Drosophila melanogaster: one gene and its partners. Changing the gene in region 2 together with the main gene of any one other region gives a genetic interaction. Each region holds a gene or a part of one and is shown on either strand. Other genes may lie near its edges.

Region 1 (5,285 bases), on a different chromosome or scaffold from region 2:
TCTCTAGTTAATTTTCTGTTCAATTTTGGTTATTTTTATATCCTAAGTCAACTCTTAACTTTTGGCACACACTTTTTGTAGTACAAAAAATAAAATGAGTAATTTTTGGAACGAGATAAGGGCCGCTAACGAACCGCACAACACTGCTTTTAGTCGCTCTCTGTGCTCAAGTTCTATTTGCGTTTGCTCAGAAACTCAAAATCCAACGACGGCAACGCGGCGGCAGAAAGAGAGGGTGCTAGCTGATAGCAAGAGAAGGCACTATCTGGCAGAAAAGAGAAAGAACGACAAACCACCCCATGGAGTGATTCCGACGTCGACGCAGTAAAAAATCAATACGGCGCCCATGCGTCAATATTGCTGCTTGAAATGGGTATATGGAATTCTCGCCGTCTTTCTCTGTCCAGGGGCTTTATTAAAAATACCACTTTATTTATGTGTTATGAATGTTATTACTTGAATGTTCTTATAACTTCGGTTAAACGTGCACTACTGTGTCTCCATTAAAGCTCCCTTACTTTAAACCAGAAGAGCTCAGATATATGAGCTGTTATCAACACCCCTAATAGGAATGTATAAGGAGAGATTCGGGCTCCGAAAAAACCAACCCCTTAAATCCCACACCTTTCACCGCACTGAATACACACGCAAACTCGCCCAGCTCGAGGTGCACCTCACGATGAAACTATCTTATGCAGTGTTTTTATTTATTTTCCTTGGATCTTTTTTAAACTACCACGCATGCACTACTCGAACTACCCAATCACCCCCGCGAAACAATGCAGTGGGAACACCACCAACTCCCACGTCCTTATAGGGGATGTGAGCACGACCCACTTGCGCGTGCCACACATATATCGAGAAAAGTGGCCCAGCAAAAGTGAGCACACTTCTAAACCTTGATTGTAATCAAAATAGGCATCTGATGATGAGAGAAAGGGGAAAAGAGTAGAGAGAGTATATGTTCACCCCCTAAGACACATACATATATACATTCTTATCCGGATTCTGAAAAAGGTGGGTGATGAAATTGTGTGAAGGAACCTAAAGTATTGCCAAATTAAAAAGCTCTGCGTTTGTTGGATGTAGTCTTCAGGTTTTCTTTCTAATTATAGAAGTAGGCCATTTTAGAGTCCTTTAAGATTTAAGGCCTACACAGTGATGCCCACAGGTTGCAGTAAGCGCAACTAAACTTTGTGTCGGAAGTTAGCAACACTGTAAAGAAGGCATTTGCGATGTATACTATTCTTGATCAGTGTCAACACCACAGGCGACAAAGCCACGTCCGTCTATACGTGTCTACGAAAATTATTCTCTTAGTTTTAATGTTATATGCTTGCACCTTTTCCAAGAGTATTCTTTGTCTTGCACATGGTATATTATTCGGTACGGAATAATAAAAAAAAAAATAATTTAAAAAAGTGTAGCATCGTTGTTTTAACATCTGTACATATATATACATAAGTATATATATATATATATACATATATACACTTCAATATATTTCGGTTGTAATTGCATCGAGAAGTCGAAAAGTCACAGGGAAATTGAGGAAAAAGAATCCTAGTTTGTTTTTATATTTCGCACAAAGCGTATACTCGTAAAAGCCGTTTTTGACATCATAATTTCGGTTTCAATTTGATCAAAATATTAGAAAAGAAATTATACTCTTGTTGTATCCGATCATAAATTCTTCTTATTCGGTGTTTTCTCAATTTACTATTTAATGTAAGCGTATGTGTGCTTTCGCGTTTTATATGTATTCTTAAGGCAATTTTTAGTATTCGTGAATATTTCATTATTTTTGAATATTTAAATTCTTTAACCCCAGCTTCCGTAAACTCCAAAAAGTTACTGCCGTTTACATCGAAGTATCGTTTATTCTATCTATACATATATAGGAAAATTAAAAATACCTTAAGACACTTTTTTATAATTTTAAGCATGCAAGACTAACAGCCGCAATAATTACCAAATTATGATAAGACAATTTGTTATGTTCTGCAAAGAATTGACCCCACCGTGTTTTTTTACTTTCCCTTTCCCACAATCGAATTTTCTTGGTACTGCTGTTTCTCTCTCTCCCTCTCTTAATTTCCCACCATACTCTTTTTTCTGTGCTGGACAGCACAGCTCTACAAAAATGAAATGATAACAGCGAAAATACAAACGAGAGGCAAGTTACGCATGCGAAGGTTGTCGCGGCAGTGGAGTCGGCGCAAAGACCACCACTGTTCATAGCAATGCAGTGACAGAAATATACATATGTATGTACATATACAACCAACAGTAAGAGTTCGTAGGAGTTTATAGTCGGGGAAACAGGAAAATACCAGCAAAAATGTAATCTTCTTGTTATGTCTAAATTTTTATATTTGTTTGAGCTATTAAATGTTCTTGACTATCTTAAACTCATCTCGAGTAGAAACTATTTTTGTTAGGCATGTGTTTAAATCGGCCATAAAATAAATAAAATACTCTTATTCCTTAGATTTAAAAGATGTAACAAATATAATCTGTAATTGTAGGCTGGCCGTTGCCCTGTTCCAATTGGAACTGTACTTTTATAGCCCACCCCAATACAACCTATAACAGTGGCGTCCTTCACTATTGGAACTGGAAAAACCCAATGAAGGTTGCTGTGAGCTAGCCATCCCGCTCTGTTTATCCATGTGTGTATCTACAAATTTTTCGTCTCTAGGGGGTGGTTTGGGTGTTTTTCGCAACCCCAAAAACGTCAGAATCACACAGACACAGATGCATCAAAAACACGCATACCTTCCAATGCAAATGGGAAATGCGTGTGCTGTCGTGCACACAATTGGAAGTGATACCTGTTTGGCGTTTCTATTCTACAACCCTACTTTACACATCATCCTTCCTATCGGAGTTTCCTGTCTTTGTTTTAACTTTTAGCTGAGGCGCATGGTTAAGTTACGGACACTCGCAGTTGGATTTTCATTTACGGCGCCGATGTAACGGTAACACAAGCTAAATACACCAGCACACATATATGATAACCTAATACACACACACAAGCCAGCAAGAACCGTTAGCTCAGAAACTCCGAAACTTTTGGGCATTCACTTATGCCACTACAAATCTCTATATACACATATAAATTATAGACTGTCACAGTGGAAAATCGGAAAATTTGTTGACCCCTACCACTAGTTTACACCCACATACGCACCTGTGTATTTTTGTTGTTTTTCCAGCTCCTTTATGATAACACACATACACACTCACAAAGAAAAAAAAGGCGCACGCACACGAACGCGCCGCCGCTATTGTGCATTGGTGTGTTTGCCCCTGCGCCGAAAATTTTCTTTGGCGTTTATTTATTATCACACTGCACATGCGAATATTCCGTGCATTTTACATTTGCGCACTGCCGTTTCTAGGTTGTAGCTCCAAAATTTCCCGCTCGCAAAGTTTCGCTGTTTTCCCTCACGATGCTTTTCCGTTAGCTTAGTTTTCAGCTGCCTGTCCCAGCACTTTTCCCCAAGTTTCGACGCAATTTTGCGATTTAATTTAGCCGAGGAATGGTATTTAGTACATGACAAATATCGATATACAGCACGCGTGATTTTTTCAGACGTCGATAATGTACACGCAATACATATCGCAGTCGAAGGAAAGCGGTCACTCTAAAATGCATAGGAGAAACGAGGATTGGCGGTCCCACTAATTGTGCTATTTAAGTTTAAATTCAAGTCCCCCTAGCGGACTTATATTAGTTGAAAAATTGATTGTATATTTTTGAGTAAGCATATAATAATCCATAAATATAATAATATAATAATAATTTTTGATATAAGAAATTTAAGTTTTCTGGTGCCAAAAAGATTTTAGTCTTTCTATGCAGGGAAAATTTGTTCCCTGGGCTTGCCACGTCCTCTATTACACTCACATATTTATAATAGTTTCATATTTATTTAGTTTGTTATTTTTTAGAAGAGTTTTTAAATTTCTCTCTAGCACTCCACCATCTCCGTATCTGATAAGAGACAGTTTATTAGTAGCTTTTTTTAAAGGTTTATATTATGAACGCTACAAAGAATATACAACATTTGATCCACGAATTAATCAGATGTAGTTATTAATGTAACAAAACTTTTAGGATACCCCAAAATAATGGTAAATTTTAAACAGTCGAAAAATTTATTATTCGGGAGTCGAACTGCAATTACACGTAAGCCCTTCACAAGGCAGCTAGCAATATTTAAAAAGGAGTAAGCTAGCCAGGCCAAATGAAAAACTGACATACAATCAACTTCGTATTTCACACGCGGGAAATTTAACAAAAAATAAAAAACAAAAAAATAGTTTAGGGATATGAAATCCTGAAGGATTGGTAAACTAGAACGACCGAAGACGACTAACTGCTTGCCACCAAAAATGTTGGGTTTTTATGTCCGTCGTCGGCACTCACACAATAAAATTCATTATTAGGATGTATATAGTGATAAAAGGAATTGTTTTTTTTTAACACAGATTGCCCGTATGTAAAAACCAAAGAATTCATATTATATAAAAAGAAACCACAAGTTGCTTATCGCTGTGAAATGAGGCTGGTAGTGCGCTTGCACTATGGGGAATTTAACATGTTTTATTGGCATAAATTAATATCTCGTAAACTATTTAAGATACGATGAATTTAGAATTATTTTGGCAAAGTGGGTGCCCCGCCCACTCCCATAAAATTTTTTTTTTAAATCAATATATTCTATCTAATCCACCAATGTATTGGAGTTACACCATGTTTTAGATTGTCCACAATCGGTACAAACTTAAGTCTCTTAACATTTTTATTGATAAAAAAATCTTTCAGAGTCGCATTTCGTACACTTCTATCAGGGCCGCATTGCTGATTGCTACCTAAAAATGTAATCTTCGCGAAAAGTCACAATAAGTAGCATTCGCAAAAGTCGCGTTAACCGTATGTGTTCTAAGTAGGTAATTAATCACTCTAAAACATTGACTAACACACATATCAAAAATTTTTTGAAACTCAATTAATTTTCGTAAGCACTAAAAAAGAAGGTCATCGATGGCACGTGGTTTTTAACATTGATTAATTTACATTTGCGTTACATAACTTAAGCCTTGATCTTAATCCGTTAAGAAAAAAGTGTTCAACAATTGAAACATTTTTAAAAACACATTTATGCCAAAAAACGAATCAAATTCCCCATAGTGGCTTTGGATTTATCTGAAACTTGGCCCTACTTATTCCTTATCGGCAATTCTTCCGGAATTCTACACGAACTGGCCTTATCGGT
Region 2 (6,144 bases):
GCCAATCAGCTGTTGTTGATTACAGTTGGCCAGAGTTGCCACTTCTAGCGTCTAGTGTTGGTAAACACCTCACATACTCCCACTGATTGTTGTAGTTGCTCTGGATCTGGATGCTCATATATGTATAAACTTATTTCCACCACCTGACGACCGGCGTTATGCTCTCCTCAAGCGACAATCACAAACTGAATTGATGTAGAGCCGAAACGGGCGGGTGTGTGTGCATGTGTCTCGATTGAGTGATTGATTAGCCGACTGACCCGATGGGCATGTGCATGTGTGCGTGTGGAAATGCACAATAAATCATTTGATTCCCACATACTGCTTGAAAACAAAAACGTAGCTGAATCCGATTTTCTTATTGTATTAGTTTTAATTATATGGATTAAACAATGACTTACAGCTCCCCCGCAATTTAGGTGCACGTGTGTGCGGGAGAGGAAAGCAGCAAATATTCAGACTTTAACTAAGGGCAGACCTGCGCACTTACCCATCTTAGCCCCAATCAAGATTGTCGGCATAAGGAAATCATCAGCAAAGTATGAATTTATTTTAACTCGCTCTCCAAAATTTCACACTGATCAGGGAAAATTTTAAAATACACTCTGAATCAGGGAAATTCTCTCTTTAACAAGATAGAATTCAATGATTGACCTCTTTGTTCCGTTATTTTCATTTACATGCGCTTTGTCTCTTTCTCTCTTCTGGCTCGCCTGTGTGTGTGTGTGTGGGTGACCTCCCGCCCGGCAAAAAAAGAAGAAGAAGCCCAACTAAGGGCAGACATGCGCACTTCGAAAAAAAAACAATTAGCGCGTATATTTAGCCGACTTTTTGTTCTGGCGAGAATGTGTGGAAGGAAATGTAGCTGTTATAACATACAACACAGGTCAAAATAATAGGGTTACAGTCGGGAGCATAGTATAAAATAGTTCCAACAGACCAATTGACAATTGACATTAGCTCATTCATCACAATATTTTATAACCACATCAAATTTACTCACTAGAAACTTGGTTTGATTGCGTTTATTTGGTTCGAATACAAATTATGTTCACCTTAGATCTAATGATTGATTGCATCCGACCGATGTGCATCTTCTAGATGCATCAGTTTGCAAAGATTACACTCTTTGGCTGCAGCTATTCCTCCTCCTCTTCGTTCTCCTTCATGTGGCGCTCACTGTTTGGAGCATTCTACGGCACATTGTCATCCATTTCGCGCATCACTTCATCGGCTCGTGTGATCAGCTCAATCAGCCGGTAGTTCTCCTTGTACAGAGCAAACTCCTCGAGTAGCTTTAGGTACTTGCGTGCATCGGCGCAGCTGATGACACTGGACCCACTTTCTTGGCCGGATCCCCCATTGTTGTTATCGTCTTGGGCGGACTCATAGCGACGTTTGGTGCCCTGGCGAGGATTCAGCGAGTTTTCAACTGCCGCAGGCGAACTCACCTTTCGCTGCCGCATCTGCTCGATGTACTCCATCTCGTCCTCCACATTGGCCGCCAGAACCTCGGCCAGCGAGGTGACACTGGAGCGACCATTGTTCGCGTCTTCATCGAGATCCGCTGGGTCTTGGTCCAGTTCCGATTCCAGCTCAGCCTCTGGCTCCACTTTTATGTGCACTGTAGGCGGAATTTCAAGATCCTTTTCCCTTTGTGCTCGGTCATCGTTCTCCTGGAGCTCCGCCTCGGGCTGCTTCGCCAGGAGCTCTTCCGGGTCCTTGGGCTCCACTTTGATTTCCTTTTCCTGCTTGATCTCTAGTTTGGGCGGCGGTACCACCGGTCCTTTGTCCTGCTGCTGTGGGGCAGGAATCTTGGTGATGCTCTGAGCGAGCGTGGCTAGTGGTATGATGGTCATGGTCATGGGCTGTCCGCCCGCTTGCGTCGGAACAATGGGTGTGGCCAGGAGAACTTTTTGAGTGGTGCCTGGCGGTGTGTTAGCTTGGAGGGGCAGTCTAACTAGAGGCGGCAAGGGCTTCAGAGCCCTGGCAAAATTTAGTTCGCTTAGTGAGGGCTTGACATCAGGCTCCTCCTCCAGATCATCCTCGCCGCTAATACCGCCACCGTCGACATCCACCTCGTCATCCTCGTCTTCTACATAGCTGCGGGGATGGCTGCTCACCGGGCTGCCCAAGCTGACCTCTTCGTCATCCTCCTCGCCGTTCCGTGGCCCACTTTCCGGCATGCTTTCCGACATGACGTCCTTGACGATGTCCTTGATCTGCACCGAGTAGCCCTGCGTGTAGCCTATCTTCAACAGTCTGGTGTCGCTGTGTTGGATGCTGTAGGTGCGTCTGAACTTGTCGCACCACTCCTGGTGCGGAAAGAAATGTGCCAGGTTCATGGAGCTCTTGAACTGCAGCGCCATCTTCTGGATGAGTCCGTCGGAGATGCTGAAGTCCTTGTAGTACATCATGCGGCGTATCCAATCGTACACGGCCTTGCCCAACATCGAGACCCTGACGGTCTTCGTCTCCATGGTCTTGGCGTCCTGGCTCCTGCGGGTTCGCTGATCCCACGCGTTCAGAATCTCAGCGCGCTGCTGCACGATCCGCTTGATCTGATCTGGGCTGCAGTTGAACAGCCGGCCAACGTGCTTATAAACCGGCAGCCGATCGTATTCCCGCAGAGCAGCAACCTTTTCGTTGAGGGCCAGGACATTCTTGCGCTTGATGCGATTGTCGAAGGCCACCTTCTCGGCGGCCGGCAGGCTGGGGGTGTGCGTGCTAGTGGGTGTGGGTGATGCAGTCGAAGTGGGTGCTGCTGGTGGAGCAGGCGCAGGCGCAGGAGCTGGTGTGAGAACCTCCGTGTCAGTGGCCTAACGACGAAGGGAAAAAAAGTGCTGTTATTACCGGGTTTTATGGTAACAGTTGAAATCGTGCAAAGTAATGCCACCATGAATGTAGAGATACAGTGCTCCCTCTGAACATGAATAATGTAGACAAAACAACAGAAGGTCTTTGCATATTTAGTTATGTTAACAAAAGCAACAGTTAAGAAAGACGAAGTTTCAAGGAATACATGGGGCTTTTATACTCATACTCATTCAAGCTTATATACAAATAAACGCCTAGATCAAGTCATTTACACTCGTGTTCTTTGAGAAGTGAAATGGGGTGGAAACACTTTGCGAGGCTTGACTGTGGCCACTTACCTTCGCCTTGTTGTTGTTGTCCTGCGTCTTGGAGGCCTCCTTGTGCTCCTTTTTCTCCCTCTCCACGCGCTTCTCCACCCTCAGCTCCCTCTGCAACTTGCGTTTTTCGCGTATCCGCATTGTTTGTGCTTTCCGTGCAATTTACACGGCAATTGCCGTTTGTTTTCGTCTTGTTTGTTTTTGTTGCTGCTGCTGCGCCCACTCAATTTCGCCCACCCCTTGCACCCTTTCTGCTCTCTCACTCACACACCCGCCCGCCTGTGTGTGTGTGTCCGTGCGGCTGTGTGTGTGCGATGGCTACGATTATGCGCGTTGACTGTCAAGCGAATTCAAATCATTTCGTCACTGCTTTTCTCGCTTTTCTTTGGCCTTTCAATGCGCTTTGGCTCTATTCGCTTTCGTTTTCTCTTCCTAGGCACTCGATTTGTCTTCTGATTGTGATTTTCCAACTGGCCGTGCGCTGCACCTTGCGTATTTTCCGATGTCCGTGCGAACTAGACGACGACCCATACAAAAATAGCTGCCGCGTTATCTCGCGCAGTTTTCATTCTCTGCTCGCTCCCTCTCTCGCTCTCGCATGCGCAACGTGGGCAACTAGAACGGAAGGGAAGTCGGCGTGTGCGAGAGTGTGTGTGCGTGTGACCAGCTGAGAGGGTGCAACTGCGCATGCGACAACTTTACTGTTACTTTCGCCATGTGGCAACTCTGCAGGCGATCGCTTTTTAAGTAGAGTAAGATTAATGAGAACATACATATGTATGTATGTATTTTGTTTTCAGTTTAAGAATGAATTGATTTCACAAGATCTGCAACTAACTGCACTGTAAAATATAACTATAAAGTCTTTGCGAATTGTAATCAATATTTAATTTAAATTAATCGAACCACCACCAATTGGAAACCCACGAGTCCATACATTTCGAAAATAATCTTTATTTTAACGCTTTTCTCCGGCTAATTTGTTTAACCGAATTTGGTGAAGTGTCGCAGGATGTGCGACATGGCCGCGGGATTATCGGCAGGAACCATGTGACCAGCCCGGTTGACCCAAAACATGCTGAAGTTGCCATAGGTCTTCTCGTAACCCTCGAGAACTCGATCTACGGTGATTCCCACGCGCGGAGAGACCTGGTAAGATGGCTTGGCGGACCATTCCATTGCTTCGATCCAGTTGACGGCTCCCGGAGTGGCGCAAATCAGGTCCAGTCCTCCGGAGAACACGCCCACTTTTACGGTGGTGTTGTTCAGCAGTTCACCCACTAAAAGTGTCATAAGGCTATAATTTGAGGTAGCACCCAGACGGTTGAAACATACCAACATCCACAGCTGGCTTCATGAAATCGCCCATCAGCTTGGTGAAGGTGGTGCCGCTCTGGGCGCCCCATTTCACTCCGGTGTTGATTCCGAGGGCCTCGGTCACGGGTCCAAGCATTAGATCCTCCAGCAATTTGTCGCGGTCCTCATCCACATCGAATTTCACGAGGGTGCGATACATGACCTCTGGATAAGTGGTTGATGAGAATCAGCTCGGTAAGTTACGCAACGGATCTTACCCTCCGGAGTCATGGCAGCTCTGGACATCAACCTGTACTGATCACCCAATGTTGGGGTCTCCACGTTATAGAAGTCCACTCCCTTGGACTCGCGCAGCACCACTGACTGGGTGGAGCTCCACTGCAAAGTGGCCTGTGTCCACTTCTCGCGGTCAACATAGTCCTTAGTCTTCAGGGCCGAAGCTTCAATCTTGTCATGGCCATCCTGATCCACGATTCCCAACTGCAGCAGGAAGGGAGCCCACGAGAGCACAGAGTCTATGGGTGAGGTCCAGGGATCTCCCAAGGCCACCGAAACAAAGTTGCTCTCGATCTCACCGCGCTTGATGGCGTAATCCAACTCCAAAGCGAACTCCGGGGCCATCTTTCCGCCATAACTCTCGCAGAAGATGTGCAGCGGCACAGTCTTGAATTCCGGGTGGTTTGTGTAGAAGCCCTTCATCAGCTCAACGAGATCCAGGGCGATCTGCTTGTTGTTGGTCGTGTAGTAAGAAGATCCGTCCACGTAGCTGAAACCACTGCCCACGGGATTGTCGATGAACATCACGTTCATGTCCTTCACCCAAGTCCAGTCGCGGTAGCTGCCGTCGAGCTTCAGGGGACCCAACTCCTCAAAGTTTCCGTATCCCGTTGAGGAGGCACCTGGACCTCCTTGGAGCCAAATGGCCAGCGGACGCTCCGTGTAACTGGAGACATTGGCGGTGGTGTAGTACAGCCAGTAGAACATGTGGGCGCCAGTCCTGACATCCACAAATCCCCAATCCTGATCACCGGGTCCATAGCCCTTGCGTGCTGAGAGTATATTGAATTATAGCTCATTTCGATTAAATAGTTATTAATATACAAAGCTCTTTGATTTTGTAATTTCATGATAGCCCCTGATTTCTAGGGAACACTTGAGAAATCTAGCCTTTAAGTATATTAAACGGCTGCACGAGTAGCCATTTAGATAAGATTAATTGTTATAGATAGTGTAGATAGTTGATTGTATTGTCTTATAACAAACCGAATAGCGGTTGGTCACTGTATCTTTTACAATGGTAATAAGGTCTGTCCCCAAACGATTCATAAGTATTTCAATCTACGGATATAAAAGTAGGTAAAAAAGTCTGTAACAGATAATTCTGTTGGCCTGTTCTACAAGTCGTAAAGAACCGTTTGTTTTGGAACACTTTCTCACTGATTAGCACCCCTAATTGGAATACAAATCACGATTCTCACCGTCAACGGAAGCCAAGCCGGCAAATCCCAGTAGGGCCAAAAGTGCGATGATAGCGCGTCCAGCCATGTTGCACCAGTGTTTCAGTTCCAATTCCAAGAGACACCGATCGAGAGACAACCGCACACTTGGCAGTTCCACTGCCAATTGATCGCTGGTTGCTCCCAGACATCGAAGGTAAAATAGCAACAGCCAGCACCTGACACACCTGGAATTC
Region 3 (5,481 bases), on a different chromosome or scaffold from region 2:
GCATACTAGGAAATATAATTAAGATGTAGTTATTTTCAGATCAGAATCAGAGAAACGTTTCAAATCAAAATCAACCATATGAACTTGGACAAATATATATTTTGTCTGCGAAATAAACATTTTTTTAGGTGTTCGTAATTACGAAAGCATTTAAATTGGCAACACCTGGGCTGGGGGGAAATTGGCAACGCGACAGCCGAGCGCTGTGCGGGAAAACTGAGCGCGCGGAAAACTGTGTGTATAAACACATCAAATCGCAGCGCAGCGGCAGCAACAACAAACAGGGAAATCTCTTTGAGATACACTACACGCTGCATGGAAAGGGGGGGGGGGCGGTGCGGTGAACTGGGGGATGATGATGCTACAAACAGTTTGTGTACAAAAATAAGTAGAAAAGTCGCTTTTCCTCCCCGCTCGGTAACGTGCGGGGGTGGTTGGCATGGTATCCGGCGTTTCGCGGAAAAACGCGTGAATCGCCGCAAAAGGCAGCAATAAAAACAAAGGCCGCGCACGTGACGCCCAGCGGGGGGTGGTGGGTAGCTTGGAAAAGTGGGTGGCACACCGCCTACTCTTATTATTTACTCACCAACTCCGTATTTGTTGTTCGAAGGTATCCACATTTTGTCGCTGCTGCTTCGCTGCAAGTTAAGCCGAAAAAATCCAACTTAGCCGGCCACTCCTTGCATTTATAATTAATCAACGGTTTTTTGAGGAAACACCCTTTTCATCGGCAAATATCTGCATTTGAATTCGCATTTATAACGGCCAATATTTATCAACAATTTTTCGCAATAGCACACATACACACTCGTACACATCTACGCACTCAATAAAACTTTCGCTTTTGTTGTTGTCTATCTCCTTCTCTTTCTCGCACTTTATCTTGTTTAATAACTACAACTACAAGCAGAAAATACACTTGCTACATTGTTGTTGTCGCTGGAAGGCAACGATCGCGGTTCCAATTGGCAATGATTACCGCTAGGTGGAAGAAAAGGAAGTGGCTGATTGGGAAGTCTGGAAGTGGTGGCTTTGCTTTTGTTGCCTTTTTCACGGACCCGCGCACACACAAACAAGAAAATCAATACGAATTTGGGACTCCCAGCCGAACTTCCAATTGGATTTCTACACTGTGCGCAATTTAAATTGCTTGTCCCTTGGCTTCGCGAATTATTACCGTTGTTTTCTGCTGCACTTGCAACGCGTTTAATTTTCGCTATTTTTTGCGTTTTATTATTTTTCGCGTTCTCCGCTGCGCAGCTTCCCGGGCGCAGCAACAACAAATATCCGTCCGCCGCTCAGCTGTTTGAAGAACAACAACAAAATTCGGGATTCGTCGGCTTATATACGTTGCAGTGTGGCCAGTTGCTAAGCGATGGATTATTTACTATTGCATTTTTGAGGGAATTTTCATTTTAGCGGTGACGGTCACACCGGTATTTATGGTCTAGCTAAGACCCGAACCAATTCGCAGTTACAGTTTTGGAGGCACATTCATTCAATGTATTCAATAATTTAACAAACAAAACAATACCAAATCCGTTTTAATATGCAGTCCATAGCGTTGGTCTGACTCGGCCCCATTAACTCTATCCCATTTTTTTTTAAATTTTTTCTTTTAAATTAACGGTGTACGTATTACTTAACCGAGATATATAATGAATAAAATATAAGCACTAAATCTTTAAGGTTAGAAAATAAATTGCAGTATAAATATATTACGAACGAAGTAAATATTCAAGCGATATATATGATCCCAAGATATCGCTACATTCTCCCATCCCTAGCAGCTATTTCTTGTTGGTTTTTCGAATTCTCGATATAACAGTCACACTGCTCGCCGCGGTTGGTCGCAATTTTTGTTGATAAGCGGACTCGGAATTTCGGCCGCGCTGCGTATTTGTTTTGTCGCGAAACAAGCCAAGAATCCAAATAGTGGCAATATCTGTGGGCAAACAAGTGATAAAGCGGGAAATGTGTCATCTGGTGGGCGAGGAAGCTGCCGAGAAATTGTGTTTTTAGTCAAGGTACGCCAATCGGAGAATCTCTGGGTTCGTGTGTGTGTGGGAGTATAGTCGCTGACTCTTCCAATTGGAATTGTTCTTTTTGGGCCTGACAATAAAACGCAGAATGTTTACTCAATAAATGCGCACCATATACAGCTGGCGAATACAAATGTGTTTAGCTCAACTTGGAGCATGAGATACTCTTTAGTAGTTTCCTGTTCTCCTGCCGATTCCTTTTACAGGAAAAATCAATAAAGGTCCCAATCAGAACGCGACTGCGCCCTAGTGTGGGTGTGCAAAGTGCGTGCATGTGTGTGTCTATGTGTGTGAGTGCTCCTTTATCAGTTGGAAAACGCAGTGTGTTTCGTTTGTTTCGTTGTTGTTGTTTTCGTTTTAGTTTTCCAACAGCTGCAAGTGATTGTGGCACGCCTAATTGATAACTATTTTCGAGCACTTCCATTCAACTTCACCTCAGCATAATTAATCACCGCATTAAGGAAAATACGTTAATATCGGCACGCTCGATTGTCTTACATGCCCACAAACATGGGAGAAAAGGAAAACACAATTCCACACTGCATGCGCTCGTATTTAGTTTCCCTTTTACTTTTCTACAATTTACATAATCATCATCTCGCGGCGGCAAAGACACAAAACAACCGGGCAGCAAAACAAAAGTGGCGTTCATTAAACCAGCTCATAAATGCACACACAGAAATCATAAGTACATACATATGTACATATGTACAGTAGTTAGTATGTAGTTTCATTATTTAATGTTTTTGCGTACATTTCCCTGTGGTTTGATGGCTCGCGGTGTCATCATCTTTACCGCTTTTCCTTCCCCCGCAAATCTTCCATTCTTTTTTCTTTGATAATTCTGCCGCGAATATTTCGTATGCAAAATGTGTGCCAAGCCAAAAAACCGCACAGTGGGTGGGATGGGGCGATGTGGTGGCAAAATTGGTTATTAGCTTAATGGGAATTCACTTATTGGAGAAATATTTTTTATTTTTGCTATTCCCTTCTAATTGTAATTGTAATTGTACCATTTTTAGGGGAGGGTGTGACGAAAACCACCCTTCAGATCATCAATCTGCCAAAAAAAATATTTCCCTCTTTCAAATATTTCAACCTAGTATTCATTTTATCACAACAAATTACACTTTCCAAATTAGGTATTCATATGTCGGTTTAAAATAACTTTTAAGACCTTACCCTCTATAAGGTGATGAAGCTTTATCTTTCAAAATCCAAATCTGATCCACCCATGCTACACAAATGCTTAATTTATATGCATATTACCAAAAATGGAATTGTTCATTCTCATAATTCATTTAATTATGCAAATATTTGGATATACAATTATCAAATAAACACTTTTATTTATTCTTTTACACCTATCAGTTTAAGTAAGTGCTTAGTAAGTCTTACTAAGCAAGTGTTATTCAAGCAATAAGTCACATTTGTTTTTGAAATCTCGTTATCTCTGAAAGAAATAGAAACTGGGTGACTAAAAGTTTGTCAGTCTGATTCACTTTCTATCCGCTAAACTATGGCACTTGTATTTTATTTCAAAGCGTGGGGTTGTTTCTGTTTTCGCTAACTATGCGAACCAATTTAGTTTCCCAATACAGTTGACTCGAAACGCTTGGAGTCGAATTGTGTCCATTGTGCAGGGCTGATTCCCTTGTGCGACTCGCTGGCCGGTTAATGACACGAGGAGTCGTCTCTGGGGGACCGGGTACACGGCTCTTGGCTAGACAAGTGACGCATATTCTCGCATTCTTTGGGGTACTAAAAGTATCTATGTCGTATCTAGATACTTGTGTTTGTCTAATTCGCGGATCGTTGATTCATCGAATCGCTCTACTCTGCTCTGTTCGTCTTTCGAATTCTTGGCCTCGAGAGCACTGATATCGTGACTCTTGCTAAATGTTAATCGGTGGAGCCGAACTGTGTGCCTTATCAAGGCGGTGATAGTGCCGGCTGATCACATATTTTATATATTTGAGGCCTAGGCAAACAATCGATCGGCAATGATGAACGATGGCCACTGTGTCCAGTGCGGCATTCCAATCGAGTGGCTTGGATGGATGGATGCATTTCCGCTGTTACACAAGCGATTTGCATTTCACAGCCACTCAAATTGCGGTTACCACTTTTCGTTCGCCGGCTGTTTTCGCTCTTTACGCTGGTCGCAATTAAAATTTGATTAATTTGCCAATTGGAGCTTGAACAAGTCGACTTGTGCGGAGCCAGAACTGGTACACGACCCGGGTCATTCCCAATCCCAAACTCAATCCACTTGAAGTCTTGAATTGGATTGGGTACACAGTGAAAAAATGCTTGAAAATACAAGGTATCAAATCATTTGTTATATTCCTTTTCATTCGATATCTAAAATTATGCAGTAAATAAATTGTGCCATACTTTAAGACACTTTGTAGATTGATTTAAGAACCCCAAGGATTTATTTGACCCTTGATTAAAGTTGTGTAAATAACTTAATAGTGACCTTACGTTAGTTACGTTATTTTCTCTCTGTGTACATACATATTTATGCACTTCTGTCCGTCCACGCTCAATTTTACGCTACAATAACAGCTGAAAAAAAAGAAGTGCAGCACCAAATTGCATTTGCACATAATTCAACGGTAGCTCAAATGAGAAATATGTCTTGTGCTTATGGAGTGTGTGTAGCAACAACAATGAGAGCCGAGGCAATATAATATATCTGCTGAAAACGCATCTGTATCTTTCTTCATGCACTGGAAATTCCGCAAAGACGACGCCGTGTGCCGCTAACTTTCTAAAAAGATGCAGCGCCAGCTAATCATGATAATGACTTAGCTGCTCATTTGCTATTGTGGCTGCCGCCACCTGAATGTTGGCCGATGATTAAGTTACAGAGCGATAGAGCAGGCAATGCACAGAACCTGCCACAATAGGCGAATTCTTCTGGGATACAACAGCATCCAAGCATCTGCTTAGAAAGTCGATCCTACCGAGCAACCTTATAGATAGATAGGGGTCGGCCAATTAAAAAGTGAAAAGCTATTAAATTGGTTTCCCATTAAGATGAATTTATATATTTCGCTTTTATATTTTATGTGGTGTTCTAAAATAAAACAACAAGAACTACAAGAAACTTGAGGCTTTGGATCATTTCCTTAAAATTTGGCGCAATGACTTCACCGCTTAAGATAGCATTTATCTTGGCTGGATTTTCATATCATAAAGCTGACATACATAGTTTCCATCGATCATAAAGCGAGTCATATGCTCATGATGAGTTAAGTGTAGGCACTAAACTGACGACTGCCAATATTTTCCCATGCTTAACTTGCTGTTTTAACTTTCCTCAGTTAAATAAACTATAATTAAGTTGAGCTTCGAATGAGTGTTAAGAAAAAAGAAATATATACATTCAATATCATCTTTTTCGAGACACACGCCTATGCCTTTTTACATT

Evidence for each region.
Region 1: of ebd1 (region 2) and ewg, changing one enhances a phenotype caused by changing the other (phenotypic enhancement), as found in Drosophila melanogaster (one study listed by BioGRID).
Region 3: of ebd1 (region 2) and Apc, changing one suppresses a phenotype caused by changing the other (phenotypic suppression), as found in Drosophila melanogaster (2 studies listed by BioGRID).

Annotation. Positions count from the first base shown.
Region 1 is NC_004354.4:275,992-281,276, forward strand, and holds the start of ewg (erect wing), read right to left. Parts: upstream 3,644-5,285; 5' UTR 3,194-3,643; intron 387-3,193; exon of another isoform or gene 1-386. UniProt on the Drosophila melanogaster protein: May function as a positive regulator of transcription in developing and differentiated neurons, regulating common aspects of neuronal differentiation and maintenance. Requirement in the CNS may be higher than in the peripheral system.
Region 2 is NT_037436.4:681,873-688,016, forward strand, and holds ebd1 (earthbound 1), read right to left. Parts: upstream 3,678-6,144; 5' UTR 3,276-3,677; coding exon 3,156-3,275; intron 2,820-3,155; coding exon 1,194-2,819; 3' UTR 1,013-1,193; downstream 1-1,012. Other genes in the region: hiro (highroad), read right to left, coding at 4,119-4,414, 4,470-4,655, 4,709-5,500, 5,930-5,996.
Region 3 is NT_033777.3:28,841,106-28,846,586, reverse strand, and holds the start of Apc (APC-like), read left to right. Parts: upstream 1-1,838; 5' UTR 1,839-2,027; intron 2,028-4,303; exon of another isoform or gene 4,304-4,368; intron 4,369-5,481. Other genes in the region: spg (sponge), read right to left, coding at 587-620.